2 linked regions of the Zea mays genome follow. The protein of the gene in region 1 binds, or shares a complex with, the protein of each later gene. Links are inferred from orthologs where the notes say so. Each region holds a gene or a part of one and is shown on either strand. Other genes may lie near its edges. The genes, in order: uncharacterized protein LOC100194273 and Mitotic spindle checkpoint protein BUBR1.

What was found.
Region 2: uncharacterized protein LOC100194273 (region 1) and Mitotic spindle checkpoint protein BUBR1 share a complex: the UniProt entries of both Arabidopsis thaliana proteins name them as parts of the mitotic checkpoint complex. The link is inferred for Zea mays from reciprocal best matches to the Arabidopsis thaliana genes AT2G20635 and BUBR1.

Annotation. Positions count from the first base shown.
Region 1 is NC_050102.1:160,973,632-160,989,135, reverse strand, and holds the start of uncharacterized protein LOC100194273, read right to left. Parts: upstream 11,793-15,504; 5' UTR 11,641-11,792; coding exon 11,516-11,640; intron 6,929-11,515; coding exon 6,769-6,928; intron 6,664-6,768; coding exon of another isoform or gene 6,506-6,663; intron 6,394-6,505; coding exon of another isoform or gene 6,300-6,393; intron 1-6,299. UniProt on the Arabidopsis thaliana protein: Serine/threonine-protein kinase that performs 2 crucial functions during mitosis: it is essential for spindle-assembly checkpoint signaling and for correct chromosome alignment. Has a key role in the assembly of checkpoint proteins at the kinetochore.
Region 2 is NC_050100.1:126,585,693-126,601,653, reverse strand, and holds Mitotic spindle checkpoint protein BUBR1, read left to right. Parts: upstream 1-5,452; 5' UTR 5,453-5,506; coding exon 5,507-5,721; intron 5,722-5,902; coding exon 5,903-5,962; intron 5,963-6,080; coding exon 6,081-6,225; intron 6,226-6,329; coding exon 6,330-6,487; intron 6,488-7,021; coding exon 7,022-7,100; intron 7,101-7,180; coding exon of another isoform or gene 7,181-7,183; coding exon 7,184-7,250; intron 7,251-7,327; coding exon 7,328-7,379; intron 7,380-7,492; coding exon 7,493-7,649; intron 7,650-7,759; coding exon 7,760-7,848; intron 7,849-7,961; coding exon 7,962-8,042; intron 8,043-8,131; coding exon 8,132-8,192; 3' UTR 8,193-8,408; downstream 8,409-15,961. UniProt on the Arabidopsis thaliana protein: Essential component of the mitotic checkpoint. Required for normal mitosis progression. The mitotic checkpoint delays anaphase until all chromosomes are properly attached to the mitotic spindle.

The sequences.
Region 1 (15,504 bases):
AGATCCATAGCAACCAGTTATCCTGCCTTGTTCATGAGAGAGGCCTTCCATCCAGGGAGGTTGTCTGCATTCTGCAACCTTGTCAACCAAGGGTAGTAAATCTGCTTTAGCAGGCTTGTGAATGGTGACTGGAAGACCAAGGTAGGTGCAAGGGAAATCACAGATGTGCAGCAGAGAATTTCAGAAGTGAGTGTTGTGTCTTCTTTCGAGCAGCGAATAGGAGTTGCAGAGCTTTTGACCATATTTGTCCTGAGATCTATGACATGACCAAAGATATCTAAGAGCTCCTTTATGATGATCAAATCACCTCTTGTAGGCCTTAGAAACAGGATAATGTCATCAGCATAAATGGAGATCCGGTGCTGAACATGCTGAACAGTAAGCCGCTGCAGGACCAAGAAACCGAGTTTAAGGCCTTCGAAAAATCAAGCTTGAGGAGAATGTGGGGTTATTTCATCCTGTATAAACAACTAGCCATCTGCTGGACAAGAAGAAAAATCACTCTGGTTAATGGACACCATGCTGGGCAGCAAGGGTGCCAAGTAACTGGCCATGACCATAGTACCCAATTTGGCAAAACTATGTATAAGGCTGATTGGCCAAAATTCCTTCAATTGAATAACACCCACCTTTTTTGGAAGAAGAGTGATAAAAACAGCATTCAGCAGATGAGCAGACAAAATCTAAAACATGGACATTCTGAATAGCTGAGAGAGACAAGAACACATCCTCTTTGATGATATGCCAACAAGAATTGTAAAAACAACCAGTGAATCCATCGAATCCTGGGGCCTTGTCTAAGGGCATATCTCTAATTGTTGCCCATACCTCGTCTTCTGAGAAAGTCTCATCTAAGGAAGCCGGAAGCGAGGTCGTGCTGCTGAATCTGGAGAGTCAAAAGATCAAAGGTGAAGTTCCTTGCTTCAGTCGACCCGAGCAGGTTTTCATAAAAATCAAGGGCAGCTTCCCGCTTATCCTCCTGCCAGGTAAAGATATGATCCTCAACTTGGAGTTTTTTCTTTTGGCAGCGGGCGTGCAAGTGGCAGAAGGTAGTATTGGCACCACCTTCTCATATACATAACACTCTAGGTCGCAGCCTAGCAATGGCACAGTCCAGAGAGGCCAAACCAAGACAGTGCAGTTCCTTCTCAGCCATTCTTCACTATGAGCAAGGTCTCGCGAGTCCCTAGCAATTTCCAGATGGACGTATCTCCTTGTCAACTACAAGCTGGGTCCTAATATTAGCAATCTTCTGCTGGCTCCATTTTTTTAAGGATTTGCTACGATGCTGCAGCTTGAGAAAGAGGCGCTCAACCGACAATTGGAAGATATGGCCATATGGGAGCCTCCCAGTTCAGATGCACAGCATAAAAAAAACTTGGGAGTTTGGTCCAAAAACTCTCAAAGTGGAAGTGGCGCTTTCCCTGAGTGCTGACCTTGGAGCCCCAAGATGAGTAGGCACTGATCCGACACCCCTGAGGCAGCGCTCTGCAAAATTGCATCAGGAAAAAATCCTTCTCAATCATTGCTGCAAAAGGCACTGTCCAGCCTTACTAGAATTGGGCTCAAGCTTTCACCAGACCAAGTATACTTTTGTCTCAACAAAGGAATATCTTTAAGCTCTGAATCATCCAAGAACAGCCAGAACCGACCCATTATAGCTCTGTTGTTGAGGTTGTTAATGTTATTGTTTGCCACTTGATATCAAATTTAAATTTCCTGCTACACTTCATGGACCAGAGAAAAGGGACTGAAAATTCCACAGCTCTTGCCAGAAAAGGATTTCTCGATATCTTCTTGAGGACCATATACGCCTGTGAACCACCAATTACAGCCTTCTTCAACGAATTGGACTAACTACTGAAAAGACATCAACATGGGAGGCTATTGCTTGGCACACATAACTCTTCCAAGCAATCAGGATCCCTCCATGCGTGCAACTCGCCGGCAGGGCCACAAACTTATCATAATCAGAGCCAAAAAAACAAGTAAAAAATCTGCCAACTTATAGATGCAACCTTGGTCTTTGGTTTCCTGGAGGCAAACCACATCAGCCCTGGCGGAGAGGATAACATCCCGAACTGAATTACACCACACTGTACTAAGACCATGGGCGTTCCAAACTAGGCTTGCAGAAGGATTCAAGAGGAAATATATTTTGAACCGCCACCAAACAGGCCCAATCAGAAAACTAACAAGAATTCCGCATAGCAGACCTCTTCACTCTCACCAACCTTCATGTAAATTTGAGGCCTTCGAGCATGCGCACAAAGCAGTATGTGCCGAAGGGTGTGATGAAACTTGTTTTCGCCTTGTCTTCCTTCTTCATGTAAATTTGGTGATAGCCCGAAAAGCAATCGAGCAGAGACATTACTTCACATCCTGTTGCGGAATCAACGATTTTGTCGATTCTTGGCAAAGGGAAATTGTCCTTTGGACAGACTTTATTGAGATTGGTGAAGTCTATGCACATTCTCCATTTTCCATTTTTATTTTGTACCATCACAACATTAAGCCAAGTGGGGTAATCGATGGGTTCGATGAATTTTGCTTCCAGTAGGCGATGGACTTCTGCCTTCGCTGCTTCGGTTTTTTCGTCAAACATTTTCGTAGTTTTTGTTTCTTGGGGCGTACAGCAGGATCAATGTCCATGTTGTGCTCAATGATGGTACGACTGACGCCGACAAGGTCTAGGGCGGACCATGCAAAGATGTCCTTATTGCGGTTGAGACAAGAGAGAAGTCTTTCCTCTTCTACTGCCAAGAGGTCCTCGCTGATCAAGATTGTTTGCTTGGGGGTGGCTGAGTCCAGGGGGACTGTTTTTACTCCCTTGTTACTCTGCAGTTGTGCGTTGATCTTTTTCCCTTTGTTTGGGCGAGGGCTGCCGGAGTCTTCGCGCTCGGATGAGAGGCAATGCACATTGCGCTGGCTGGGGACGAAATTTCTTTCTATGTTCCTGGCAAGCTGTTGATCTCCATATATGGTAATTGCACCCTGGGGCCTGGGATTTTCATGCATAGGTATAGTCCGTGTATGAATGCCTCTGGTTTATTAATGGATCCTCGCCCCATGATGGCGTTGTAGGGGTAGACCATATCGAATATGTCGAAGGTGAACTGCTCACTTCTCGCGTTTGGCACAGTGCCGAATGACAGTGGTAGCTTGATTTTGCCGAGTGAAAATGTTCCTTTTCCTCCGAAGCCATATAGAGGGTTATCTGCTGGCTTGAGTAGGCTGTGACTTATGCCCATTTGATCGAAGGCGTGTAAGAAAATGATGTATGCCTGACTACCGTTGTCAACAAGTACTTTGTGCAAAATCCATCCTGCTAGTTTGCGATTTATCACCATCACATCGGCGTGGGGTGCACTGCGGAGATCGACATCCCTTGCATCGAAGGTGAGTGGTACATGGGACCACTTTGTTTGAACAACATGTCCGGTGAGGGCGACATGATTGACACTTCGATAGTGGTCTTTCTTCTGCCGTTTTGTGTCGAATTCGGAGTTGGATCCTCCGGTAGTCATGTGGATTACCCCTCGAAAGGGTTAATCGGCGAAGTCCTCTTGCTTCGGTGGGGGTGGGGGTGGTAATGGTTGGTTTGGATGTTGTGGAGGTGGAGGCGGTAGAGCTAGGATTTCTTCGTGTTGAAGTCTCTGTTGTTGCGGGTATATATTATGGTTTTGCTGGTGAGGATGGAAATGTTCATTGTGGAATTGGTGCTGGTTGTACTGATGGGGATGATAGGTGTGGGCGACGAGTCTCTGGTTGTCAATCGGTGGTTCCTAGCCATTCGATCCTTTGTTGCGTTAGTTTTGGGGCAGTCCCTGGTTGGGTGTGCCGAGTCTTCACCGTGGAAAAGACAATAGAATCTTCGTTGCCGCTAGCCTCGGCCTCTGCCTCTGGTTGCATTACCGATGCGACCTTGCTGCGGAGGGTAATCGTGACGACGAGCGGTGACTCCAATCTGTTGATTTGCGATGTTGTGCACCTGGGACTGGGTGCGGTCTTGCCGGCTTGAGTCCGGTTGCGAAGCCCTGACCCATGTCCTGCTGGACTGCGGAGCGTCCTTGGGCTTTCGTTGAGACTCGATTTTTCTTTGATGGAGTTCTTCTGACCGGGCGTACTTTTCGAAGAGCTGATATAATTCCTGCAAGTTTTTGGGTGGGTCCCTTATGCAGTGACTGTATAAAACACCTGCACGAAGGCCGCTAATTGCATGGTGAATAGCTATATGGTCATCAACCGAAGGCAGCTGTGACTTTAACAGGAGAAATTTCTTGTAGTATTCTCGAAGGGTTTCTTTCTCCTGCTGCCTGCAGAGTGATAACTCTGCCAGAGCGTCTGTCTCAGGTCTGTACCCTTGAAATTTTAACAAGAACTTGTCGCGAAGTGTTTTCCATGAGTCGATTGACAATGGAGGCAGTCTCGTGTACCATGTGAGGGCTGGGCCTTCGAGAGCTATGATGAAAATTTTGGCCATGGTGACGTCATCTTCTCCAGATGATGCAACCGCGACTTGGTAGCTCATGATATATTGTGTCGGGTCGATATTGTCGTTGTACTTCGGGTAGGTACCTGCCCTTTAGTTTTGGGGCCAAGATGAGGCTTGGAACTGTGGAGCGAGAGGGCTTCGTTCATCAAGGTAATTTAGTCCATGAAAGGTAGCTGGGGCCCGGACTGGCATGCGGAAACGGTGGCCAGGGTCCTGCCGCTGGTGGATGGGGTCTTCGCCTTGCATTTCTGCAATCTGTTGTTCCAGTTCTTTGGCTTTCTGCTCCTCATCTAGGATCATCTGACTGACCTTGACCTGCATGGTGATGCGCTGGCGCTTGGCTGCGAGTATTTCCTTTTGCTTCTGTAAGTGGTTGTTTTTTATGCGGAGTGCATGCAACTTGAGCTGGTCCTCGGCTGAGATGCCCAGGACTTCGCCGTCCTCGATGATATTGTCAGCTTCCGGTGGGGTGAAACCTGGCGGGGGGTCCCGAGATAGTCCCTCAGAGCTGCATGTGCGAATGGTGCCCTCTGGTGTGGGCGGATTCTCCTGGCGGTGTCGCTTGTTGTTGACTGCTCCATCCTCGAGGGCCTCATGAGGGACATCGCCAACCAGGCCTGCTTTGCCCTTCTTCTCAGCGAGAAGATCCGCCTTTGCTGCGTCGTCCAGGGAGGTGGTAGCCTTCGAAGCTGCTTTCTTGGGAGCCATCACGGGAAAGGTTTGTCGGAGCACGAACGGTGGGCGCCAAACGTTGGAACTCACTGACACTTGGTCAAGTGGGTCCAAACAATGAGATATGAAAATGCTTTGATGCTTAACAACTCAATGGTTTAGAGCAACAATGTAGTTCGGCATGTCCCGTCAAGGTACAGTGCAGGGGTATTTATAGGTAACCATGACGGCGGTCTCACCCCTATAAGTACAATTATGCCCCTGGTTACCTACGTCATCCCCAGAATATTCCCCCCTCAGGGGTCATTATAGATCATTACAGTATGGTTAAGTACAACCCGGACTGACACACCATCAATCCTACCCTAGACTGGGGTTTACACGTGGGGCCACACAATCCAGCATGACGCCGCATGGGCCCGCTTCGTTGACATGCGCGAGTAGTGGCTGCAGCCTTCGTCTTAGGGCGCCTGGTCTTCGGATCATGGCCTCCGCCTGTCCTGATTGATCCATCCGTCCCAAAGCCTTCGCTTGATTGAGGTAGACTCTGCTCTCCAACTGTCGTGACATGTTCTGTTTACGTTATAAATGAACTGAGCGAGGGGGGCGGGCCGCCTTCGCTCCAACGCTTCCACCCAAGAAATGGCAGCAAAAGGCAGTGAGGTGTGCATCAGAAAGGGGTTATCAAATAACTAGCTGTAATTATCTTGAGCTGACTGGTTATCTTCTCCATAGCAGAGAGGCCCAAGCTATGAATCACTTGCTCTCTTCTGCACATCAGAGACCACTGGCCCTAGAGAGCATGGACCAGCACCAACCACATGTCTGCTTCGATGTGGTAGTGATCCTGAGGGAGGCGTCTTAGACTGTCTCTTTTTTATGACGATTTGGGGAAGGAGCTTCACTACAGGCTTTGTTACCTTATCCAGAAGCTTGTCCCGCGTAGTCAGGGACAGTGTCATGATGATTGGATCCGACAAACATAAAAGTGTAATGCTCAACAGACCCATGAGCTATTCTATGATCAGCATACTCATGGATACAAAGAAATACTGAGGTTTGATAAATACACAAGTATGGTGCTCAACATGTAGGCTGAAAACTACTAAATCATAGCATGTGGTTACGCTACCTGTTCTTCCGCATCTGCTTCTTCTAAAATATTCTCCAGATGTTTTAGAAATGTCAAGTGCATCTTCTTCAAATTATCAAGGGGCTCTGCTTTCCTAGTTAAGCCACAGACCATATTTTAACATCACATGGACGTGTGAATATCAGGTTGTATATGCTTAAAAAGAGTAGAATTTCAAGTGGAAATTATTTTCCACTCACACTAACCTAGAAATACCGATTCCATACACCTTATCAGCCTCAACCAATTTCCCATGAGCAATTAGATATTGTGCATATGAGTCATACAATAGTGCATGCTCCTGAAACATTCCTTTCTCCTCCAGCTGGTTGTAAACACTGGGGAAGTCCTCAATTGCATCTGCCTAAAACGCAAGAATCACAAAAGACCCCAAAAAGATAAGGAAAATAATAAACAACAACCCAGGAGGAATGGTATCAGAAATGATATATAAAATCAATCAGGTTACATAGAGGATCCAAATCTTGAGCAACCGTGGATCAGTGGAGTATTGGTAGTCATCCCCATATTTTGCAATGCATTCAGTCAAGTAATGCTTGAGCCTGTCTAAGGCTGTCGTGTCATACTGAGGCCCTGTTCCGAGCTCATCCATGGCCCTGCTAATAGACCTAAATAGAAAACCAGAAACCGATATTAGCAACCCAAACCAAGGTTAACAAAACCGAGGATAATCACCGGTAAACCGAGCGGTTTACCGAACACGCCGAGGCGCGGTATCGGTTTTCCACCGGTTTAATTTCAAATTTCGGCCAAAACTTGAAAATTTTGAAGAAAAAAAATTATAAAATGGGGAAAATTATGATAAAAACTACATCCTCTCATGAGTCATATGATATATAAGATATTCAAATTTAGTCTCGTTTAGCCCATTAAAAATAGAAAACTTTTAGACCCGTTACCACAGATCTGCTAAGCCGACGGCTAACCACCTCAAGTCGGCGATAAACCGTCCGTTTGCTTGGGTAAACCGCCTGTCGTTGTTTGGACCCGAGGACCTAACCAACCAGTGAAATAATGCTGCGTGCTCCTAACTCAGATGGTGATGCAAGTTGACACAAGTCTTTTATCATGGTTCGAGCAAGAAGAGGTCCTGCTTCCAGTAGAGGGGGATGAGACTTAGGTAGTGTTTGGTTGAGGAGCCAAGTAGAACGGAACCGTTCCATCCCTGATTCTAGGAACGGGGCCGCTCTGTTCTGTGTTTGGTAATCTGGAATGGAGCGGCTCTGTTTTTTGTTTGGTTGCAGAGTGAACGGAACGAAGCGTGACTGTGCGAGCGGGCTGGGAACGGAGCGGCTCCGTCCGGTTGATTTTTTGGAGCGGGATGGTTCCGGATATGAGGAGAATATTCCCTAATTGGAGCCACTCCGTTCTAGTTACTTTGTAACCAAACAACAACAAAACTGGGACAGAACGGCTCCGTTCTACTTGGCTCTTCAACCAAACACTACCTTATATTACTTGCACATAAGTGCTTGTAGTAGAGAATACAACTTGAGCGGGAGAGAGAACGATCCCAAGTCCCTGGATTGATTGAGGAAAGTGTCAATACCGTGGTGGAGGAGAAAACGGGGAAGTGTTCGTCTGCCCTCCTGAAGCCATAGGCTATCCTATTTATAGCCTCAGAAGGGGTTGCCCGGAGTACTGGAGGTGGCCGCACACTGTGAGGAGGTGTCACTGTGGTCCTGTAGACGGTATGGTCTAGAGTTATGACCTTGTACTTGTTGTTGACTTGTGCATGCTTGATTTCTGCTGAGAGCCGAGGCCAGGGCCGAGGGTTCGATCACGTATCCAAGCCCTCCTGGCGAGGGGGTTGCTCATACTGTAGTGGTTGACACAGTACCAAGTATGGGAAAAGCCCTTTAAGTAGTGTGTAGGGATGAAAACGGTCGGAAACAGACGGTAAACACTAAAACCATTAATGTTTTCATATTTTTTATCAGAAATAAAATCGAAAACGGTAACTCCGGAAACGGAAACAATATCGGTATTTCAGAAACATCGGAAACGAAAGTTCGGTGCGGAAAATACACTGGTAACGGTCGAAATCTAAAATATGATCGGTAAACATATCAAACTTCACAATACAACAAAGTTGGCAAAAGATCACAAAGACCACAAGTTCACAATTCATGATATAACAAGTTCACAATATAAAAGTTCATAAAGATCACAAGTTCACAGACTCAAAGTTCACAATTCACAATATCCACTCGATTTAGCTGACATGGCATGCTTACTCATGAAATATTTTTTCCTCACATAAAGAGTTTTTTCACAGCCTCACAGGAAAACCCTAAAATCTAGTGTGTGGAAAAGACAGACTGTCGGCTCTCTATCATTATATATTACTAATACATAACATGTGCATAGAAAAGGGTGGATTCGTTCGAGAGACCAAATCGTTAATCTCAACAGCCTTCCAACGCCATCTATCCAAAAAAAATCTTAAGGCGTCCAAAAAATACAAAAATAAGTAATCTTTATCCAGAGACGTACAGGCGATGCCAAAAAATCACATGCCGGAAAATTCCGAAAAAAATTCCGAGACACAATTCCGGAAAATTCTGAGACACAAATCCGGTAATTTCCGACAAAACCGGTAACCGAAGGAAACGGTCGGTAAAACACCACGCCGATTCCGATACCGATTCTGATAGAAAATTCCAAAAACCGATTCCGTTTTTGAAAAAATACTGTTACCGGTGAATCCGATCGAAAAATTTCGAAATCGGTTTCCAGAATACCGAAAAATTCCGAAACCGTTTTCATCCCGAGTAGTGTGTCAGTTCTGCAGTGTCTGATGACGTTGGGCGCCTTCCCGTTGCAGATATCGAGGTCAGAGCCGAGCTCGGGCGAGGTGGTAGTCCGTCCGAGATCGCGACTGAGCCCATTCTGAGATTCGAAAACGTGTGCCACAGTTGAAGGAGTGGCCTCCTGCGGGGTTCATGGGGAGTAGGTAGCCGAGACCGGGCTCGAGCGAGCCGAGTTTATCCCGAGGCCGAGTTCTACTTCGGGCGAAACGAAGTTTACGCCCGAGGGCTAGCCTGTACCCTTGTCGTATTGTATGTCCCGTCAGGAGTTGGCAGACGGCGTACAGGAACAGTGGTCGCATGCGTAATCATAGTTGGTGAATCTTTGACTAGACTGTGGTCTTGTTACTCCTGCACACCTGCAGCCCTATGTGGGTTAGGTATGCGCATTGAATGTTGTTGTCCCCGGCAGACTTCAGCTGAGTCTCGCCCTGGGTTTTGTCTCCCTTACCCGAGGTGGGCTCGGGCGAGGCGGAGACTGTCGTTCTGGGGTGAGGGGACCTCGACCGGGACGAGGATTCTCTCGAGAACACACCCCGTCCGAGGACAGGCTCGGGCGAGGCGGAGTCTGTGGAGACCCCTGAGGGGGGCCTTGGGCGAAGCGCGGCTTACGATCCTTCGTACCTTGATGGTGTTTTTAGTGGTTAAGTGTGTTTTAGGGGTGTAATCTGAGTACGCCTAATTACCACACCCGACACCGCCTGTTTTCACCGGAAAACCGGATTTAATGACATGATTGAGTTCTAGTTTAATCATTTAGTGCCCAGATTTGGTTTTGTGATGTTTAGGGTTTTAGATTTTTTTTACATCATCAAAAGTTAGGTGTATTGTAGCCTACTAGTTATATATTAGTACTATTAATATATAGTTATATATGTTAGTATTTAGTTATATATATGTTAGTATTGTTAATATATGTGTAGTGTGTAGGTCCATTTGTTCGTGTTAATACATAGTTCTATGCTAAGACCTAACTCATTTGCTTGTGTCATGTTAATATTTAGTTATTGTCAGATGGTTTATGTTTTTGTTAGTAAATATGTTTCGATGTTTTATGTTAATATGCCATTTGCTACAAGTTATATGTTTTTATTCTACTCTTGTTACATGATATTATGTCTTCTTATTTATAGGAGGCATGTCGGACATTGTCTAGGAGCATGGAGAGAAGGTTAGCACGGGTTTCAAGAGAAAATATTGTAGAGAAACTAAGAGCGGAGGGGGTGGTACACGTTTGAAGGAGCATCTCGCACATAAAAAAGATCATCAAATCGAAGGGGGAAGAAGAGGGACATCTCGCACATAGGGGGTGGTACCCGTTTCGACCATTCTATGTTGTTGTCGAGATGCATGTATATGTAACTACAAGCAGATCGGTGTGTTATTTTTGCTTCGACAATAGGTATTTATTTATCGTTCTTGTTTTATCGCTAATGTATCTCATATCATTGTATAGGACTACGTATACGGAATGGGCCCATACCAGGATCCTTCCAACATGCCTGAATACTATGACTCGAGCTGAATAAAGAGTATTGTGAAACAAGTAGACATATGTATCGTGGCCTCGTGGGAGAACTCTAAAAGAACTTGTATAATTGTATTTGAGTATTGTGCCATCCGATGGTTGTTTGTTGCATGAGAATTGAAGTTTGTGGTTGCATATGTATGTTGAATATCATTTTGGTGAACATATGTTGTGTGAGTCAGTTAGTATTTACTATGCAACGTGAATTGAGCAAATTACAAATGAACTCTGCCAAAATTTTCCATTTTTCCCTGAAAACAAAAAAATGATTCATATGGGTGGTTTACCAGCGGCATTGGGTGGTTTACCGCCGGTTTTTCGCCGTAAAACCATTTTGAATTTGTTCAAATTTGACATGGGCAAACCGGTTGATTTTGTCGGTTTTCACCGGTTTACCCATTACCCGTGGGTAGCAGTTTTCTCCAAAAACGGTTTGGTTATCCTTGACCCAAACACATGTCTAAGCTCATTCCATTATGTACATGGATTTTTAGAAGAGGAAAATCAGACCTATAAGCAGCCTAATTAAGACCGAAATCAAGGTCTCACACATGGCAGCCTCGCAAGAATTTGAATAAGAAATCAACATATACTAGTGCATCCCAGTTCAATCCCACAGGGGTACTGGTAGGCATGAGTAACCAGACCCTGAATCGCGGAGGTAGAGCCGCGCAAGCTAAACTAAACGTCCAAATTGCACATGCTTTACATTCAATCAAACGGCGGAACCTTCAGACACGCACAAGCACACGCACGGACGCACCGCACCCGTGCACTAAGCGAGCTCCCACACGGATTCGCACACGCTAAATGAATCCAAGTAACAGAGGCATATCTCGAGGTAGATTCGAGATTACCTGAGGTACGGGAGGATGGGGTCCGAGGGCGGCGAGGCCACCTCCCACGAAAACCTAGGCGACTTCGGGAGCGGGCTACAGGCGGCCCCCTGCGCCGCGGCCGGAGTGCGGTCCAGGATCACCATGCCCCGATACAGAGAGCCTCTCCCCTCTCGGACGAACCCTGCGGCGATCGCCGGCGACGAGCAGCTCTGCAATTTGCTCTCGCGCGTGTGTGAGGCTGAGCCGTGGACAGCACTGGAGGGCAAATATTTGGCACCCAAAAAATTTGAAAAAGAATCGCCCCGCAGCTAAGTGGCCAGTGCCCACTCGTCAGGACCCAAATATTTCCCCTACTACTTTAGACTGTATGCAGTAGTGTCCTTTAAATTTTTTCCCCTAAATGTTACTATATAGTCACGTCAGCAAGATTCACTCTCCTATATTCACTTATCCCGCAACTATTCTCCCTAAAAATTCTCATATATATATCCCTCTACTCATTAAATATACATTTCCATATAACTAACATAACCAAATTCATTTTCTTTTTCCTTTTTTCCTTTTCACACGTCCGGCATGTTGCGATGTTATAAATTTATAAAAAAAATATATTTATTTTTTTACAAATTATGCATAATATACAAAACAAACATTTGAGTTAAAATTTATTTCGAAATTGCATACAAAACTTCACAATTGTGCGTCGTCATAATTATTGAGAAACATTGCGATGTAAAAAATTGAACCAAGCTTACGTTGGAAGCAGACACCGACCATTCGTACGCAGGAAGCCACGGTTGGCTTCCAACGAAAGCCACGAGCTTTCCCCTGAAGCCACATTGATCTCGCCTATATATATGCATACTTTCTCTTCGCATATGTAGCCACAACGAACACAACTCCAGCAAGTTAGCCATTGTTCGGTATGTCTCACTGGCATAGGGAAGATGATTCCGATTCGAGTGATAGTGAGGACGACACACTTTTGCTTGTCAATCTTCTTACCCTCAACATTGAGGCTAAACGCCATCTCCGACGATGTTCCGGTATACCTCGCCGCATCATTCACAGGGATCATTTTGCTGGAGAAAATCTCATCCAGCATCACTACTTCGGCCCGAACCCAGTGTATCCACCCACGTGTTTCGTAGAAGGTACGCACTTCAAATTATTGTAATATGTTATGACATTATCATTGTATTCACAATGAACCTATTAAATTTTATAGGTTCGGCATGAGTAGGCCGTTGTTCATCCGCATTATGGAAGGACTGCAACAGCAGGATAGTTACTTTACGCAACGGGTGGACGCAACAGGCATGCTAGGACTCGGGCCCCTACAAAAAGTATGTGCGGCAATGCGGATACTTGGTTATGGGTTACCTACTGATGCGGTAGACGAGTACATTCAAATTGGGGAGTCAACCGCTAGGGAATGCCTTCATCATTTTTGTCGCGCAATCATTGCATATTTTAGTGGGTGGTATCTACGAACTCCTAATCAAGCTGACATAGCACACATCATGCACAATAGCGAGGCTAGGGGTTTTCCTGGAATGTTGGGTTCCATAGATTGCATGCATTAGGAGTGGAGGAACTGTCCTACGGCATGGCGTGGTCAGTTTTGTTGCAGAAATGGTAGACCTTCGATGGTACTCGAAGCGGTAGCAATGTATGATCTTTGAATTTGGCATGCATTTTTTGGCATGCCTGGGACAAACAATGACGTAAATGTGCTTCACCGATCACCAGTATTTGACCCCATGACAACCGGTCGAATGCCACTAGTGAATTACACAATAAATGGTCATGCTTACAACTTCGGATATTACCTTGCTGATGGCATTTACCCCAACTGGCCAACTTTTGTAAAAGCAATCAGACACCCATATGAGGAAAAGAAAGTCTATTTCACACAAATGCAGTAAAGTTACCGAAAGGATATTGAGTGCGCATTTGGAGTTCTTCAAGCCCGGTGGGCGATGCTGCGTGGTCCAATGTACGGTTGGGATCGTAATCGTTTAACGGAGATAATAACAGCATGCATCATCATGCACAACATGATTGTCGAAGACAAAGGGCAGTTTGCTGCTAATATAGATTTCGGAGAAAACACTTCAGGCATTGAACCATCTCAACTAATTCAAGAAGGACGGGCGGAATGGGTGATCAATCACTTTGATCTTCGTCGCCAAGACAGGTCGTGCTCACTACAAAATGATCTTGTGGAGCATTTGTGGGCTCGACGTGGAAGCATGTGAACTTTTCATTTCATAACTACGTATTTCGAACTTCAATTGAATAATTGTAAGGTCCTCTGTCATGTCGTTGTTATGGTTCTTCAAATAAATAATTTAATTCTACAATTTCCTACCCTATGTCGTCTGTTCAGGGACAAAGTCATTACAATTCATTATGTACAACCTAATTTTTACCAAGTAAACCACAAGATAACAATGCAACAAATAATAATCCTAGGTGTTTCCACAGCCGACTTAATTATTATGTAGTACACACGTTACAACATAACATAGAACCAACATGTCATGCAAGACTTATGGTTACAACAAATTTATAATGTTTTCGAAAACAAATAACACAATGAAATTAGATAAAAATTCTCAAATAGTTTTCGGCACCAGTACTACGACATGTCACACAACAGTACATTTATTGAAAACTAAATATGAACTGCTGCAAGCGTTTTTTCTGCTCCTTCATCATAGTCCAAACTTCAGGATCCACTACCTCTTCACTAGTTGACTGTAGCATCTGCAATTGTTGTTTGGGCGATTGGAGTTCTTCAAGTTTCAATTCCCTTTCACGAATGCTTAACTTTTTTGCTTCCAATTCCAACCTCTTTTTCTCTAGTTCCCTGTCTTGTTCAGTGCACTTTTCTTTCTTTTCACCCTTTTCTATGCAGCGCTGAATTTGTTTTTCAGTTAAATCTTGCAAACGGCTTAAGTATTCCGTCGATGAGGATGACATACCTTTCTTTCTCTCAGATTTACTAGAATCATGACCACAGGGCCGTTTTCTTGTCAAACCAGCAGAACCACTATTAGATTCATGTCCACCAACTAATGGAGTACTAGAAGATCCAATTGATTTTGCATGTAATCCTCGGAATGAAGTTCCTTGACAGATGCTCCCATTTAGGTTCCCCCTTCAGTTGATGCCAGCAATGCATAAAATGGAATTGTTTGTTCTCTTCGTGTCACACCCGGTTTTAGAAGGCAAACCGAATGCGAACCATGTACGTGCCAGGATCAGCGATTCACGTACACAGCAGTTACATAACATGGACATCATCACACAGTGCTCAAATAGTATTAAAAAGGGAAATAGTAGTCGATTACATCATATGTCTGAGACATCCACATAGTCTTTACAAATCATCAAAGTGCGGAAAAGAAACGTATATAAACGCGGCCTTCATGGGCAGCCGACTGGGGGTTGCCGCTAACCCATGCCTAGAACTCGTCGTAGTCTTGGAACTCCTGGAAGTCTTCTTCCACGGCTTCATCTTCTCCTGAGCAGTGGCTGCAATGCGGACAACCTGGGGGGGATTGGTGTGTAGAGCAAGGGTGAGTACACATCAACGTACTCAGCAAGCGTCCTGTTTGGCTGTAGTGGACTAGCTTTATGTGGGGATAAGTCAAGCAGTTGCTTTTAGTTGGTCAGATTATTATTACTAGTAGAGAAAGCCAAGTTTTAGAATTTACCCACGTTATTTACCCAGGTGTATCCTTTCCAAACAGAAAGCATACCACCTACCATTACCAGAGTCAAAGCCAAGAACCATCAGTCTCATTGCCACCTGTAATCTGAACATCTCTGATCAAGTACCACTAATCACTGGAGCTCCCTTGGCCGCTTATAACCGCGAGCACGGCTGATATATCAGTTTTCAAACACTCTGCAGAGGTTGTGCACTTTACCCACAAGTCGTGATTCCCTTTCTGCCCGGAGATCATGACTCTCCATTGATCACTACCAAGGTGACC
Region 2 (15,961 bases), on another chromosome or scaffold:
CCTGTGGTAGCGCGCCTCTTCATCTCCGCCACAAGAAACGACAGCCTAGTCTCTGACACGGGGAGCCGGGCCCATGAGTCATACTCCTTGGGTGTCGATTCCCGGGTGCAGAAAAGTCGAACCGCCGCTTGCGCGAGTACTTCGCCTCCTCAGGGCCGCCGCAGAAGACAGAGAAGGTGATTTTTTCAAACCAATGCAGCGGTATCGAGGCGCCTCACGCATGGCCCGACAAATCCATCAGGCATGGGGGCCACGGGTCAGTCAGCCGTGGGGACAGACGTGGCAGTTGACATGACCGAAGGCGGACTGGCGGTGATTACGTCAGCAAGCGTGCGGAAGCGGCGCATCAATCGCCAATCAAGCTTTGGCCCCACCTACAGGCTTGTATCCTCCCCTGAGGTGGGCCTGGGGGCCACTGTCGGTACCCTGAAATAGGGGTACCCCTTACTACAGTATGAAGATGTGGGGGACAGATATCCCCTGGATCCACTAGAAGGCTAAAAGACCTCGCGAAAGATCTTGGGCCTAATATTTCGCAAGGTCATCCCTTCGTGGGCCTGGGGAGGGACGTCTAGTGAAGTGGATTGACACAAGATTGGATCAACGCAAGCCCAGACGGCCTGATGAATTTGAGCAACGGTCGCAGCAGTGATCCGACCTTCCTGTACAATGTCCTCATACATCGGAACTGAATGGAGATAGGTCGGCAGAATTATAGGAAGATAGGCTCAGTCGGTTCACTATTACTTAGGCTTATGTTGTTATCATATCCGCATGTAAACGCCCCACGGTCAAGTATATAAGGCCTAGGGGGCACCCCCTCAAATGACATCTCACTCCTTAGCCATTTACTCAACTCTCTAGTATCCTCCATACTAGAGAACTCCCTTGTAACCTACCACACAAAAGATCCACACCAGGACATAGGGTATTACGCATCCCAAAGCGGCCCGAACCTGTACAAGATCGTCTATTGTTTCTCGTGCATCTGGCACGAACCATCGAGCTACAGTCGGTAACACCGTCCTACTCCAAAAAGCACCTCGAGGGGCAACCCCGGGTGCGCGGTCGGACCCAAAACACCGACAGAAGACGTGGTGCCCACGCGGCTATCTCTAGTCGCGTGGTAAACAGCACCCGACCCACCACGTGGACAGCTCCGGGGCCGCCACGTGGCCAGAGAAGATGATATACTCCAAGGTATCAACAGTGAGTCCGGACCCCCATGGGGGAGTGCCGGACCCCTGTATATGCAGACCGGACCTCCGGGAGAGGTCCGGGACCTCCCACTAGTAGAAAAAGGCTCAAAGCCTGCGGGGTGATATATTTTTACAGACGGATTCGTTTATCAACCGATTGTGCTATTTTTAGTGGCGGTTCCTTAAGAAAACCGCCACTAGAAATCGTATTTCTACAGGCGGTTCCTTAAGGAAACCGCCTGTAAAAATCCATGATTTCTAGTGGCGGATTTCTTAAGGAACTGCATGTAGAAATCGATTTCTAGTGGCGGTTTTCTTAAGGAACCGCCACTAGAAATCATTTTTATCCTTAATTTTTTGAGTTTTTCAAACAACCTTGTATGACAAAATCACCAAAATAAAAGTTATAGATCTCTAAAAGTTATAAAACTTTGTAGTTGACAACTTTTTTATTGGAACTCGTTTCGGTTCTAAAAAAATGAATCTAAGTATGTCAAATTTACTCCTGCGTTTTCGAGAAAAAGTATGTCAAATTTAAAATTCATATTTTGCAAACTACCTCGGATAAAAAAGTGTCAAAATAAAAGTTGTAGAACATCAAAAGTTATTCAACTTTGTAGTTGACAACTTTTTTATTTGAATTCGTTTAGAGTCTCAAATAAGCAATTTACACTCAAATGGTTGTAATATGTGGACAAAACAACTACAAACTAGACACAATGCATGCCATAAACGGAGTGGTAGTGGAGATTACGCGCGAGGGTGAGGTCGACGGTTCGATTACTAACAACCGCATATCGCGCGAACTTTACGCGAAAAATGCCGCGACTTGCAACTTTTAAATTTGTTTTAAAAAACCTATTTAATGTTTTAAAATAATTTTTACTAGCGGATTTATTACGTCGACCGCCAGTGGAAATTGATTTCCACTGGCGGTCCTCAGTTATCCGCCTATAAAAATGATGATTTTTACTGGCTCCTAGTACCGACGGTTCTAAGAAACGCCAGTGAAAATAGGTTTACAACCGTCACTATAGAGCTCCTTTGTACTAGTGTCCACGGGTGCAAACCGGACCCCTAGGATGGGTTCCGGACCCCTCTGTGTGGGGTTCGGGCCACTCACAGCAGGGTCCCGGGATTCTGGGACGAAGAATACCTAGGCCTTAACAAAGGCCAGGCGGGGTTCCGGAGCCGACACATGTCCGGACCATACCGTGTACGCTTCTGCTCCCCGCTCAGGCGAAGACCCGATGCTGCCACGTGGCCTACTGCCCGTGACGTAAGCCAGCGGGCAGAGCCTGACGTAAGGCCTCTGGGCCGCGCGACCTCTGCATTTATTGCGGATAAGGCGCGTTGCCTGTCAATTCCACTGGCAGGTGATGTGCCGCCTCGGCGTTTAATGAGCCCTGTCCATTCCACTGGCAGGCGATGTGCCGCCTCAGCATTTAATGTGCCCTATCCACTCCGCTGGCAGGCGGCGACCACACCATCCCGCAGGCGGCGTGCCTGTCTATTCCATTGGCAGACAGTACGCCCGTGCTGCGGCGTACACTATGCTCATCATCACTCGCGCGTTACCGAGGAAGCAGCGCGGGATATCAATACTATATGCACTACGGACATTATGGCGCTCGGAGATCACCCTGGCGTGACAAGCGTTAGTTACTTCCTCCCATTTTGTCCATGGGCCCACATGTCGGGGCTCAACATCATTATACGTGCCCCCCTTGAGCTATAAAAGGGAGGGCACGCAACGTTACAAGACAAGTTCTCAAGTTCTCTCACACTCACTCAAACTCACAAGTTCATACAAGTTCTCAAGCTCAATACAACACACAATGGAGTAGGGTATTACGCTCCGGCGGCCCGAACCACTCTAAACCCTTGTGTGTTCTTGTGTTCTTCTCGATTCCATCTAGCAGGCAAAATGCTTAGGCCTCCTCCTCATCTTAGGATTTAGGGCGGGTGCGTTTCTCCACCCGGCTGGAGAATTTCCTCTCCGATAGTGTGTTTGGATGGGATTCATTTAAAATAGAGCGGCTCCATCCTAATTTATGAAAATGTAGTCGTTTGATTTTGTATTTGACAAGCAGAACATAGCCGCTTTATTTTTTTGATTGAAGAGTAGAAAAAAGCGGAAATACTCCATTCTTTGTTTGGTTGGAGAACCATATGAGTAAGGATGACAATGGATTGGGTTTAGGTCGAGTGGAGCAAAAACCCGCCTGTGATCACACCCGTAAAGTCCACCTAAACTGAGCTTGCGATTACACCCACGGGTGCAATTCCAAACCCGTACTCGAACTCGTCGGGTTTCAGGTGGGTTTCGGGTCACCCGCGGGTTTTTACTCAATGTACAATTTTAGTTAATAATTCGGCTATAGGCAATTAAATCTCTACTATATTTAAAGCACCAGTTTTAATGGTCATCCTGCGTCATCTTTTTACAAATAACACCTCATAGCTATTTCAAATTAACAATTAACCCGTTGCACGCCCGTCCGGCTGACGTCCCAAAATACACCTCCACATATAGATGGCCAAACGGCGGCCCGGCATGGGCCAGACGCCCGCAGGCCACAGATCTGGCCCAGACACGTCATGCCGGCCTGCTAACTGTGCCGGGTCGAGCCATTAGCTCATCGACCCATTTGATTAAATCAGCGTAAAATGTTAAAAAATAATGCAAGAGGTGGGGTTCGAACCCATGGCCTGATAGAAGAAGGATTTGAGACACTGTGTGAAGCTGTCTAATTAGTAGAACATCATGCTCAAATATTTTTAATATTGAATATAAATTGTATATATGTATATACGTTTTTTAAAATAAAAAATATAATCGTGTCGGGTTGGGCCAATACTATGGGCTGAGGCTACAACTCAAGCACATCACGGCGTTCTTGGCTCTTGTAAGCATTAGGTCGTTTCTGAGACCACATTGGCGCAATGGACTCCATGGTGTTTGAGGTTGCTGAATTGGATGGAGCAACAATGATGTGCCACACTAACAGTAAAATGAAAGGTTATTTGTTGGTTCTAAACGTTAGTAATTGCTACGAAGTAGCATAATTTATATGGAACACATCCAGTTTTTATTGATGCCTGACTTTAGCAACCACTCTATATTTTGATCTATCTTTTTTATAAGTTTGAGTTCATGTGACTTATTTTAGAAACTTGAGCTTACAAACTTTCTCTTATTTGGTCTCTGTATATAGGAATTATGTCATTCTATAATCTATGTTCGTTCAGTCAGTCGTTATGAACTCTCTTATAATCGCTCATTTCATTGGTTGTGTTGTACCAAGACATACTGGATGGAGTAAACAATAACATCAGTTAGCCAAATCAAAAAAACATTATACGGAGAGCAGAGACAAATAATAAAAAATCTTGATATTTTTATGGATTTACGTGGGTATTGTTGTAAGCCGTCGCAACGCACGGGTAACCGACTAGTATTAGTAATAATTGAGTTATATCTATGAATTTTAAGCCTTCTCACGTTGAGCGCAACAAAATATTTAATGAATAATTAGCCAACCTACTTATTCAAAAATAATTACTATTGTATTGTATCATAAGTAGTATTGTGCAAATTAAAGAATGATCCAAATTTTGTGTCGGGTGTGGGTCACCCATGGTTGAAATAGAAACCTGCATAACACTCGTGAAACTTTGAGTCGAGTCTGGGGTGCACTCACGGGTTAAAATTTTTACCTGTACCCGCACCCGTCGGGTTGGGTACGTGTCGAGTTTCGGGTTTGCGGGTTAAATTGCCATCCCTACATAAAAGTGTAGGGGGGAGGAAAGACATGAGTATGCTCACATCCGATCGTTTTGATGGAGCAGAGACATCTCAATTATTTATGATATATTTTTATACGGAGACTATAAGAGTCGCTTTACTCTCTTTCATTAGAAACCAAACATCTACAAAAAATAGAACTGGATTGGTTCCATTCGCATCCACTCTTTTACCAAACACATCCTAATATATGTACTTGGTGGAGTAATTTAGTCCTCGTTTCATGGTTGCTTTTTTTTTTTTTTGCTAAAATTTACGCTTCTCATGGCATACAGCCAGTTGAATTTGTTCCAGCCAAGCAAAACATAGCTGGGCTATTTTGAGTACAAACCGGCCCAAATAAAACATGGGATTAACTAAAAGCCTACGGCCCAAACTTTTCGCAAAGCTTCACCGTTTAAAACCGAAACCTGACCTGCGGGCTGCAGCAGCGTCCGCTCCAAAACGCAACGGTCGAATCTCCTCGAATTCGAATTGCAGCCGGTGCCACCCACCTCACATGGCGGCGGCGGAAGAGATGATGGCGGTGCTGGACAAGGAGACGCTGGCGCTGATGGGTCTGGGCAACGCCGCCGCCGCGGTGGTTGCCGAGTGCGAGAAGTTCAAGGAGAACGCGAGGCCGCTCAAGCGCGGGCGCGACGTGTCCAAACTCAACCACGCGCTCAAGGCACACGCCGATCCCGCCCAGCGCGCCACTCTTCTCGAAGCCCGAAAGTACGTTTCCTTCTCCAGTCTTTCGCCCAGCAATGGGGGAAAAGGAGTTGTGGTTTTGTAACTTTTGTTTGCTCTGGATTTCTTTTTCTTGGGCCTGGGTCTGTGGGGAGGAGACAAGTTGCTGCAGTAATGCAAATATATATCATGTGTGTTCATCGTTCGGTTCATTTGCTTGATCCAGGAAGCTGATTGAGGCAATCTACGAGTACCAAGGCGAGGATCCGCTCCAACCGTGGCTGGAGTAAGTTTTTCTCATAGCCCCTTTAACTCGCCTTTTTCGATTTCTTGGTTCGTGCCAGGACTGGTAGCTGTTCTAGCAGATAGATTGTTCATTTCTTCTCTGATTCGTCCGCGTGCAGCTGCATCAAGTGGGTGCAGGAGTATTTTCCGACCGGCGGCGAGTGCTCAGGGTTGGTGGTGTTGTACGAGCAGTGCGTGCGGACCTTATTGGACGACGAGCGCTACAAGGACGACCTCCGCTTCCTCAAAGTGTGGCTGGAATACGTGAGTGATGCTTTGCCAGCTTGATTGTTTTTCTCTGTAGTTTGTGTCAGTGCAGTGGAGGCACCTCATATATCATTCCGCTGCCGATCTTGTCCTTTTTGCAGGCGGGGAACTGTGCTGATGCTGAGGTAATATACAGGTTCCTGGAGGCCAACCAGATTGGGCAGGGCCATGCGATCTACTACATGTCTTACGCATCGTTGCTGGAGTCAAAGAACAAGTTGAGGAAAGCTAATGAGATCTTTGACCTTGGTATAGCTAGGTGAGATTTTCTTTAGATCAGCACGTTTGTTCATATAAAGCTCCTGAGTTTTAAATTGTTAGGTAGATCATGCTGTTGTACTATATATCCGATCCAAAAATTGTGTCCTATAATGGACATGGAGTACATATATGCTCCTGTGTTTGATTTTCGTACATAACAAGAGTCAATGATGGTACAAAAATGAGGCTGATGTTATACTGAATCAGTTTTCCTTCTTTGTTTTATTTTCATGATCACTTCTAATTTGATACATTCTAACGAATTAGAAATAAAAAGTTCCTTTTAGTTTCTAGTTCGCAAACGTAAAATGAAAAAAAAATCTCAGTCTTCTACTTCCTATTCTTTAAGATTTGACACTCCTTTGACTAGTTATGCCACTATCTTCTTGTAAATGATACAACACTCGGAATTGTTTTACTTATCATGGTTTCTGCTTACCTCTTTTGTTATGGTTAGTTGTGCATTGGTTTTAATACTTGATTAATCCATGTGAATGTATGAAGTTTCTTATATTCGATTTTTTATTGTCAGAAAAGCGAAGCCTCTGGAGAAGTTGGAAGCTGTATACAGGGCATTTCTTCGAAGATCAATCAAAAAGAGGGAACAAGAGGTTTGCTATTCAAATTACAGCAGTGTTTATTTATCTTGAAGCCAATACCTCAGTTGAATGACTTCTTTCTTTTCCTGTAGCAGGATGATACAGTAGATGATGATCTGCCAAAACGCAGTTTCGGGAATAACTTGAAACGAGATGAAAACAGTAAGCTTGTTCAGTTTTACTCTGATTTAGCATGAACTTCGAGTGGCTGCAACCTAATACATATGCAAACATGGCAGGAAATCAGCAAGCAGGGAACTCCCACCTGGGGAGACCAAGGGCACTGCAGAGGTCAGTACCTGTATGATGTGACAGATGTAAAATATCCATCTAAACCTGGAGTTTTTTTTCCTCATCATGTCACTGATTATGCCTTTGCACACTTGCGGAATCGATGCTAACAGGCCGCTTTCAGTTTACAAAGATGAAAGTCCATTACCAAATCAGGGCCTTGACAGAGTGAGGAGCAAAGAAAATAACACAAGTTGGCGCGTCCTCGGAACACGAGCAGAACGGAACAAGGAAAATAACATGATGCCTGCTAAATGGACGTCTCACAAGGTACTTTTGCCATGCCATTTAGGATTCTCTGAAGTGGCCCATGTGAGACTTGCACCGAGGACAACTATTCAGTAACGAACTTGTGGTAACACTGCATTGTTGTTGTACAGATTCCACAGAAGTTAGGAGCAAGAGGAGCGGTTCAATCAACCCGAGCCAGTTGTTCCATTGAAGTCTTCGTCGAGGAAGACTGCACACAGTATGTTATTTAACATGCTAGTGTTACTCTTTTCTTTTTTGAGATTGTTCAAAGTTACTACAAAAACATATATGTCTAAATAGACTCTTTTTTTCCCCTTTGGATTGCTGTAGGGAACCTGCTCGGCCGGTGCCAAAGAGCCCAAATCCTTCTGTTCTGAAGCTCAGGCAAACAACAAGCAAAAGCCTTAAGAAGTAAGTACAGCATAGCTCTTGTAGCTTCGGGTATTTGGGAAACTATTGTCAGCAGTTCCCTAACCTCTGCGGTCTTTTCTTTGGAGCAGGGAGACTGAATTGCTCAAGGAGAACCCGCTGCGCAACTTCCCCCTGAGCAGGCTTAGGTAATCAGCATCTTGCTGGTTCTGAGAAACATCTCGTACGTTATGATTTGGTCGTATGTATGGTTGCTGTGAGGTGTTGTGCCCAAAAAAGGCTTTATTAGCCTCTAAAGCTTAGACGAGCAATGTATGCCTATGGCATTATCCAAGTGATGTAAGGCTGTGCATTATATTGACACGGCGTGCTTATTATGAATAGACCTGCAGATCTCGTGCGTGCCTATGTGAATCTAGCCTCGCAAAATAATCTGCTTCTGCAAATTCTAATAGCTTGTTCTGTAACGAAAATGCCTTTGGACTAATATCTAATAGCGTCTCATTCAGTTTGTTTATATTTGAATGCCTGAGAAATTAGAAAACATATTTGAATGTTTTATTCCGTCCATAAATATAGAATCTCTGTAAGCATGTAGCTAAACTCAATAGAAACATTTTATGCGTAGAATGTGTTTAGGATGGCAAAAATGTGTATTGATATGCATGAAAACAAAAAAAATCTGATTTAAATGCTTTATTTTTCCCATAAATATAGGATCTCTCCGACAGCAATCCAGCTATGCTCGTTGGACCAGTTTATGACATATACTAATACTAATTATGCATCTGATACACCGCATAAAAACTTGTTTTTTACTGCATACACACAAATTTAGGATGACAATAATAACCGTTAAAAAGAAATGGACATGCATCGAAACAAAAAAAATTATTTGAATGCTTTATTTCGTCCATAAAAGTAGGATCTCTACAACAGCCATGTAGCTAGAATCGTTAAAACCAGTTTATGATGTAGATATTTATGCTACACGATATAGATATTTATGCAGTGTGACAGACTGCGTAGAAAATAAGTTTCCTGATGTATGCACACAACTTTAAATGACAAAAATGTGAGTTGAAATGAAATGAGATTGGTATGCATGAAAAAAATCTGATTTAAATACTTAATTTCCTCCATAAATATAGAATCTCTTCAAGAGTCATACATCTAGTCTTGTTAGAACCACTTTATAATATATACTGAAATTAATTATAGTACACAGTGAAGGTATTTATGCACGCGATACATTGTGTACAAAATCTATTTTCTGTTACATGTGCACAAATTTAGGATGACAAAAATGTGAGTCGAAAGGAAATAGATTAGCATATACTGCTCAAGGCTTTATTTCGTCCATAAATATAGTATCTCTTCAACAACCATACAATTAGGCTTGTTAAAACTAGTTTATGATATATACTGATACTAATTATGCTATATGTGGAAGTTATTTATGAATTGCGGTACACTACATGAAAATCAATAAACGTTGGAAGGAAAATGTGAATTGAAATATCATAAAATGTGAATTGACGTTGCAGTTAGACTCGTTAAAACTAGTTTACATAAAATGCGAATTGAAATATCATAAACATACAAAGGATGAGAAAGCCATGACCTAACAATGTATCATAAAAATATATTGACGTTGGCATAAATATGTATACAAAATCGCATAAAAACAAGGTCGTAGATCCTTCACCGCTCGCACCTAGTGAAGTCCGTCATCGTCACTCGCGCCTAGTGAAGGAGACGTCGTCACCGGAGGTGGGACGCCAGGGGGCGCCACTCCGGGGTGCCCGTCTCAGAGGAGCCGACGTCGCGCCTCTGGGATCTGCCGCCTCGTGCGCGCCACCCAGATCCGCCGCCGCCGTGCTCCCTCAGGGCCATCACCGCCGCTGTCGAAGCCTACCGCACCTCGCGCAACTGTCGTCGCCACCGGGCCTGGGGTGTGCCGCCACTGCTCATCTGCTTCGGGAGCGTCGCCGTCGCTCGATCCTTGGAGAGCGCCGCCGCCGGTCGCCCTCCTCGGGGATCACCGCCGCTCGCACGCCTGAGGAAACCGTCACTGCCGCTCACTCGCCTGAGTGAACCGCCGGCCCCACTAAAACCTAATCTCTGGTGGCCTAGGGGTGTTTTCATAGCCGCCCGAAGCTAATGTGGCTATACAGAATGGCTCCGTTGAGTCAGTATTTCCTCTAGTTATTGAAAACCCTAGGCACCATATATATTATATATATATATATACATACATATATATATATATATATCGTGGATAATTTTTCTCATAATAGAAAACTAGTAACGCAATTGTTTCTCCAAGTAATTTGCAATTCAAGCTACAGACAAAACGTGATTGGAAACTGGCGTGCAAGTGGATACATGACATGCTAAGGACATCAACTAGGCCAGACCAGTCCGAGAGCAGGTACGGTGCAAACAAGAAGATCCATTCTACATTTCTATACACGTCATGAAAATGACCATTAGTTTACTTTTTTTGGTTTCTTTAGGGCACGATGACAAGCCGTCTCGCCAGATGATAACGTAGTAAAACTGTGGCTGGCTGCCCAAGCCCACAAAGCCTTTGTACATTTGCATTACATCATTGGGCTTGCAATGCGACATGGCCGGTTGGTTAGAACCAGTAGCTAGCTAGTGAGTAGCAACACACACTGTTATATAAGGAGGTCACGAGCACACAGCCATGCTCCCGGTGCACCTGCTCCAGGCAAGATTCTCTCCTCTCCTCTCTCAGAAGGCTAGACGGCCGACGATGAATCGCCAGGCGAGTCGGCGAGGCCACCGGGTGCGCCATGTCCGGCTCGGCTCGCTTCTCCGGCTCCGCGTGCGGCTTTTCGGCCTCCTTGTCCGCTGCCTGGAGGACTTCAACTGGTACCCTAGGGGGAGGTCGAGGCCACATAATAAGATGATGCTCAGTCACGCTGACACTGGGCCAGCGGAGAGGGAGAACTCCCTTCAGGCAGACGCCATTGCAGATTGCTTAGAGTTTATCAAGAGATCCTACCTACCTGCTGGTGATCAGCAGCCAGATTGCTGCTAGCTACCCTTCTTGGCCCGGCCGGTTTGGTTCTCGTGACATTCCAAACAAGCCCCAACACCCACGTGAAAGGCTTTCCTAGTTTGTACACATACATATAGCAGTTTTGCTAGTTACCTTTGTTACGTTTGTTGTATGCATATATACGAGTAAATCAAGAGTGACCAAAATGTATCTATGGCTGCTGAAATGTGAAACGTCATTTTCTTGGCAATAAGAATACGTGTGGTGTGGCTTTTTTGGGCGATATATGGTTTTCATCTAAGCGATTAGGTGAACTTGACTAATAGATGGCAACTAATCAAGTAGCTTTCAAGCTTAGTTTTTCAGAGCAGTTGACCTAGTCCCGGCATAGTACAAACAAATTTGTGGACGAGGGTTTCTCTCTGTGATAATGACTTACATGGGCAGACACCTCCTTAACATTTTGAAGTGGCAATCAACATATCTTCGGTGGTACATGCTGCTTAATGCATGGTTATTCAAAACGTCATAAGGACCTGTTTTAAATTGCAGCTCGATTATTAGAATCTGTTAGGGTGTCCTCTACGCCGGTTAAAAGTAATAGGGTTGGGTTTATCCTAACCAACTCTCTAATAACGCGCCCTTGATCGGGGGCACCTTAACCATCATTGCAAACCCCGGTCACACAAGCACCATATGAATAGCATTAAGAACTGGTGGGTTAAGCTAACGCAACAGCCTTCGCCCAAACCCTAACCCCACATTGATAGAGGCTCCCATCGCCTAAGGTGCTTGGAGTGACCGGAATCGCTGCAATGACGACGAACATGGATGACCAAACGTCGCCGGTCGTCGACTTCGACAACACGCAAGGAGATGTGGATCCACCTCCACAACCACAAGGAAGAGGGACACAGGGAGGAGGTCATCCCTCTCAAGGCGCCACTGCCATCACCACCGCCACCACCAATGCGAATCAAGAAGGTATGTTTCACAAACTTCTTAGTTAGATTAGGATTCCCACATCATAAAAGGTTCTAGGCTCTTGATTGGCTTTCTAGGGATTTAGGTAAGATTCTGAGCACCTTAATTTCTATCATTGGCATCAAAGCCACCTAAGTTTTCCCTAGATTCACTAATACGATTCAAAGGGATCAAGAACAGCTCTCGGGTAACATGTGAGTAGGCTCAGAGAGACCATCCTTGCCCACTCACCCCGAGAAGATAAATCAGAGAAGAATTAGAAGTAGAAAAGAACAGACAAGGTCTTGGGTTAGGTAGATCCTACCACTAAATCCATAATTTTGAGGTAGAAGACGAAGAGTGAGGGTTCGGGTTAGTGAAAGTCGCCTAGAGGAGGTGAATAGGCGAAACCTATAAATTATAAACTTTGAACACGAACTTCACCCAGGGTTAGGATTAGAAATAGTAATAATGAATTTGGAGTGTAGAAGAGAGTTCTTCTTGCTATGAGTTGCTCAATCAATGCGGATAACTTTGGGAGCTAACTCAAAAGATTGTGAGTGTTGGGGCGAAGGCAAAGACGCCACCCTTCGCTCGTCGCCTTCGCTTCAGTCGCTGGTCTGATAGAGACAAAACGGGCAGGGACACCCTTCGCTCGATTCAGCACCAGACGAAGGCCTACGGTGACGTCTCCCCGCAGCACGGCCTCGTCCTGCTCTAAGGCCCACGTGTGATCTGGCCCATTGTAACGGGCCCCGCGTGGCCGCCTTTGTGTTACGGGCCTAGTTTGTAAAGGCATTCTTGTAATTACAGCTTGTAACCCTGCTTTATGGGAATATTCTGGGGATAAACTAGGTGTCTGAGGGCACATGCGTCCTTAACACAAGACGCTGGGCACTCAGATACCTATAAATACCCCCGCACAGTGCCCGTGAGAGGCTAGATTAACAGAGCTATTGCCCCCCGAGCACGTAACCCTGTTGTCGCCACTGTTCACCCCTGTTGGCCTCCTTGCTGCTGAGACCAAGTGCCAACATTTGGCGCCCACCGTTCGTGCTACGACAAAACCACCCGCGATGGCACCCAAGAGAGCTAACCCGAAGGCTGACGAGGCTGCAAAGGCAGCACTGCTGGCCGCAAGAAAGGGCAAGGCCCTCGCCCTCACCCAATCCACCCACCAAGAGCCCACTGAAGACAATGTTCCCCACACCGGCGAAGACGACACCTTCCGCACCTGCGGAACCGAAGGACAATCGCAGCCGCCCCCAGGCTTCGCCCCACTAGGAGGCGCGGACCTCACCGAGGACGGTGAGGTCCTCGGCGTCTCAACAGAAGAACAGCTACAGCTGCGCGCCCTGCGCCTCAAGAACCGCAATCTCCAGAGGCAGAAAGAGATACTGGAGGCCAAGCGCCAGCGTGTGTCCGCACTAGCCAAGGTGCGGCAAATGATACGCGACGAGGAGCAAAAGGCCCAAGACCTCGAGCGCGAGATCGCGCTGATGCAGCGCGAAGGCCACCTTGGCCTGCAGCAAGAGCCACCCCTCCAGCAGCGCGCGCAACCGGAAGACACGCGCGAAGGCCACCTTGGCCTGCAGCATGGCCCACCCCTGCATCACCGGGCGCGGCCGGAGAGCCCGCGTTTCCCCCAGCGCGACTACACCTTCCAGCACGGCGCGCCATTCCAAGGAGTCAACTACCTCGACGAGCGAAGTCCCCTGGCGCCACACCTGCAGGTGACGCCTTGGCCAGCTAACTTCCGAGCGGGGACCTATCCCAAGTACAACGGCAGCACCGACCCGGCGCAATACATAATGAGTTATCAGGTCGCCGTTGCATCCGCCGGAGGGGACGACGCCACAATGACGAAGTCTTTCATCATCGCCCTAGAGGGCCCAGCACTCACCTGGTTCACCAGACTGCCTCCGCTGTCCATTGATTCGTGGAGAAGTCTCAGGGACAAGTTCCTGCTCAACTTCCAAGGGTACCGCCCAGACACCGATGCCTTGGCCAAGCTCTCGCTTTGCAAACAGCTGGAAAAGGAGACTCTGCGGGAGTATTACCGCAAATTCTTAACACTCAAGTCGCAGCTGCCCTCTGTCGATGATCAGATCGCTATCCACTACGCCATCAGTGGCCTTCGGGCCGGCGTCCTCTACAGCCACTGTATCAGAGATCCACCCAAGAGCTTGCAGGAGCTATATCAGCTCTTCGAAAAATACGCCAAATCCGAAGAGCTCCACCAGCGCAAGGTTGAGTCACAGCGGAAACCCAAAGATGCCCCGCAGTCCAGCCGCACGTGGACGAGGACTCCGCAACCAGACTCCGGTCGAGATGGCCGCAGTCAGCAGCAAGTGCACAACATCGCCAACCAACAGCCTGCTGCTGACCCCCCTCGTCGCCAGGAATATCCCCCCCAGGGCCGCGGAAATGGAACTCGTGGCAGGGGCCGAGGGCGCGCGCAGCCACCGCGCCGGTTCTACTGCCTTTTCCACGGCGAAGACTGCGCCCACCAAACCAAAGACTGCCCCGAAACGAAGGCAACCAGAGACAGAATGGCGCGGGCGTAGCCAGCCGACAATCCCAGAATTGTCGCGCATAATTACCAACCACCCCCTCCACCATATATCCACGCTCCCGCTCCGCACCCACCGCACCACGCTTACCAACACCATCAGGAAGTACAAATCGTACCTCCTCCACCCCCACCACCACACCAGCAACATCAAAACATCCCCCATGCCCCAAAGCAGGAAGACTTCGCCGACCAACCGTATCGCGGAGTCATCCACATGATAACAGGGGGGTCCAGCACTGACTTCGACACCAAGCGGCAGAAGCGGGACCACTACCGCAGTATCAACCATGTCGCCGTCACTGGCCCAGTCGTGCAGACGAAGTGGTCCCACATACCGCTAACCTTCGACGCACGAGACGTCGACCTGCGCAGCGCCCCCCACATCGACGCTATGGTCATCAATTGCAGCGTGGCAGGCTGGGACTTACACAAAGTCCTAGTCGACAACGGCAGTCAGGCGGACATCATCTTCCTCCACGCCTTCGACCGCATGGGTATAAGCCACAGCTTGCTGAAGCCTTCGGACAACCCGTTGTATGGTTTCGGCGGCAAGGGCACCTTTCCCGTTGGCAAAATAGATTTGCCCCTCTCCTTCGATGTAGCACCCAATGCCCGAAGTGAGCAAGTAACCTTCGACATTGTCGACATGGTATATCCATACAACGCCATCATGGGCCGGGGCTCCATCAATAAGTTCGAAGCTGCCATCCACGGGCTGTACCTATGTATGAAGATACCAGGTCCGCTAGGCGCCATTACAATCTACGGCAACCAGCAGACGGCGCGCAACATAGAGCGGGACTTCATGCCTGGTCAGAGGAACGTACACTGTCTCACGACCCAGCGCGAGGTCCCCGCACCCGCCAGCCCAACCGACAAGCAGCACGACAAGGCACAGTTGCAGAGCCAAGACGGGACCAGGACTGTCCCCCTCGATCAGGCCACGCCCAAGCAGACAGTCACTATCAGCGAAGACCTCACCTCACTTGAAGAAGAGAAACTTCTCTGCTGCCTGGCCAAAAATAAGGATGTCTTCGCCTGGTCCGCCCTCGACCTGGTCGGAGTCAGCCGATCCATAATTGAGCACAGCTTGGGAATTGACCCTTCGGTGCGACCCAAAAAGCAGAGGCTTCGCAAAATGTCCGACGAAAAGACAGAGGCCGCCAAGGCGGAGGTGCACCGCCTCCTGGAGGCTAAATTCATTGAGCCAGTGGCTTACCCCACGTGGCTCTCCAATGTCGTAATGGTGCAGAAAAAAGCGGAAAATGGCGAATGTGCATAGACTTCACCAGTCTCAATAAGGCCTGCCCAAAGGACAATTTCCCGTTGCCGCGAATCGACAAAATAGTCGACAGCGCGGCCGGATGCGAGGTCATGTCTCTCCTCGACTGC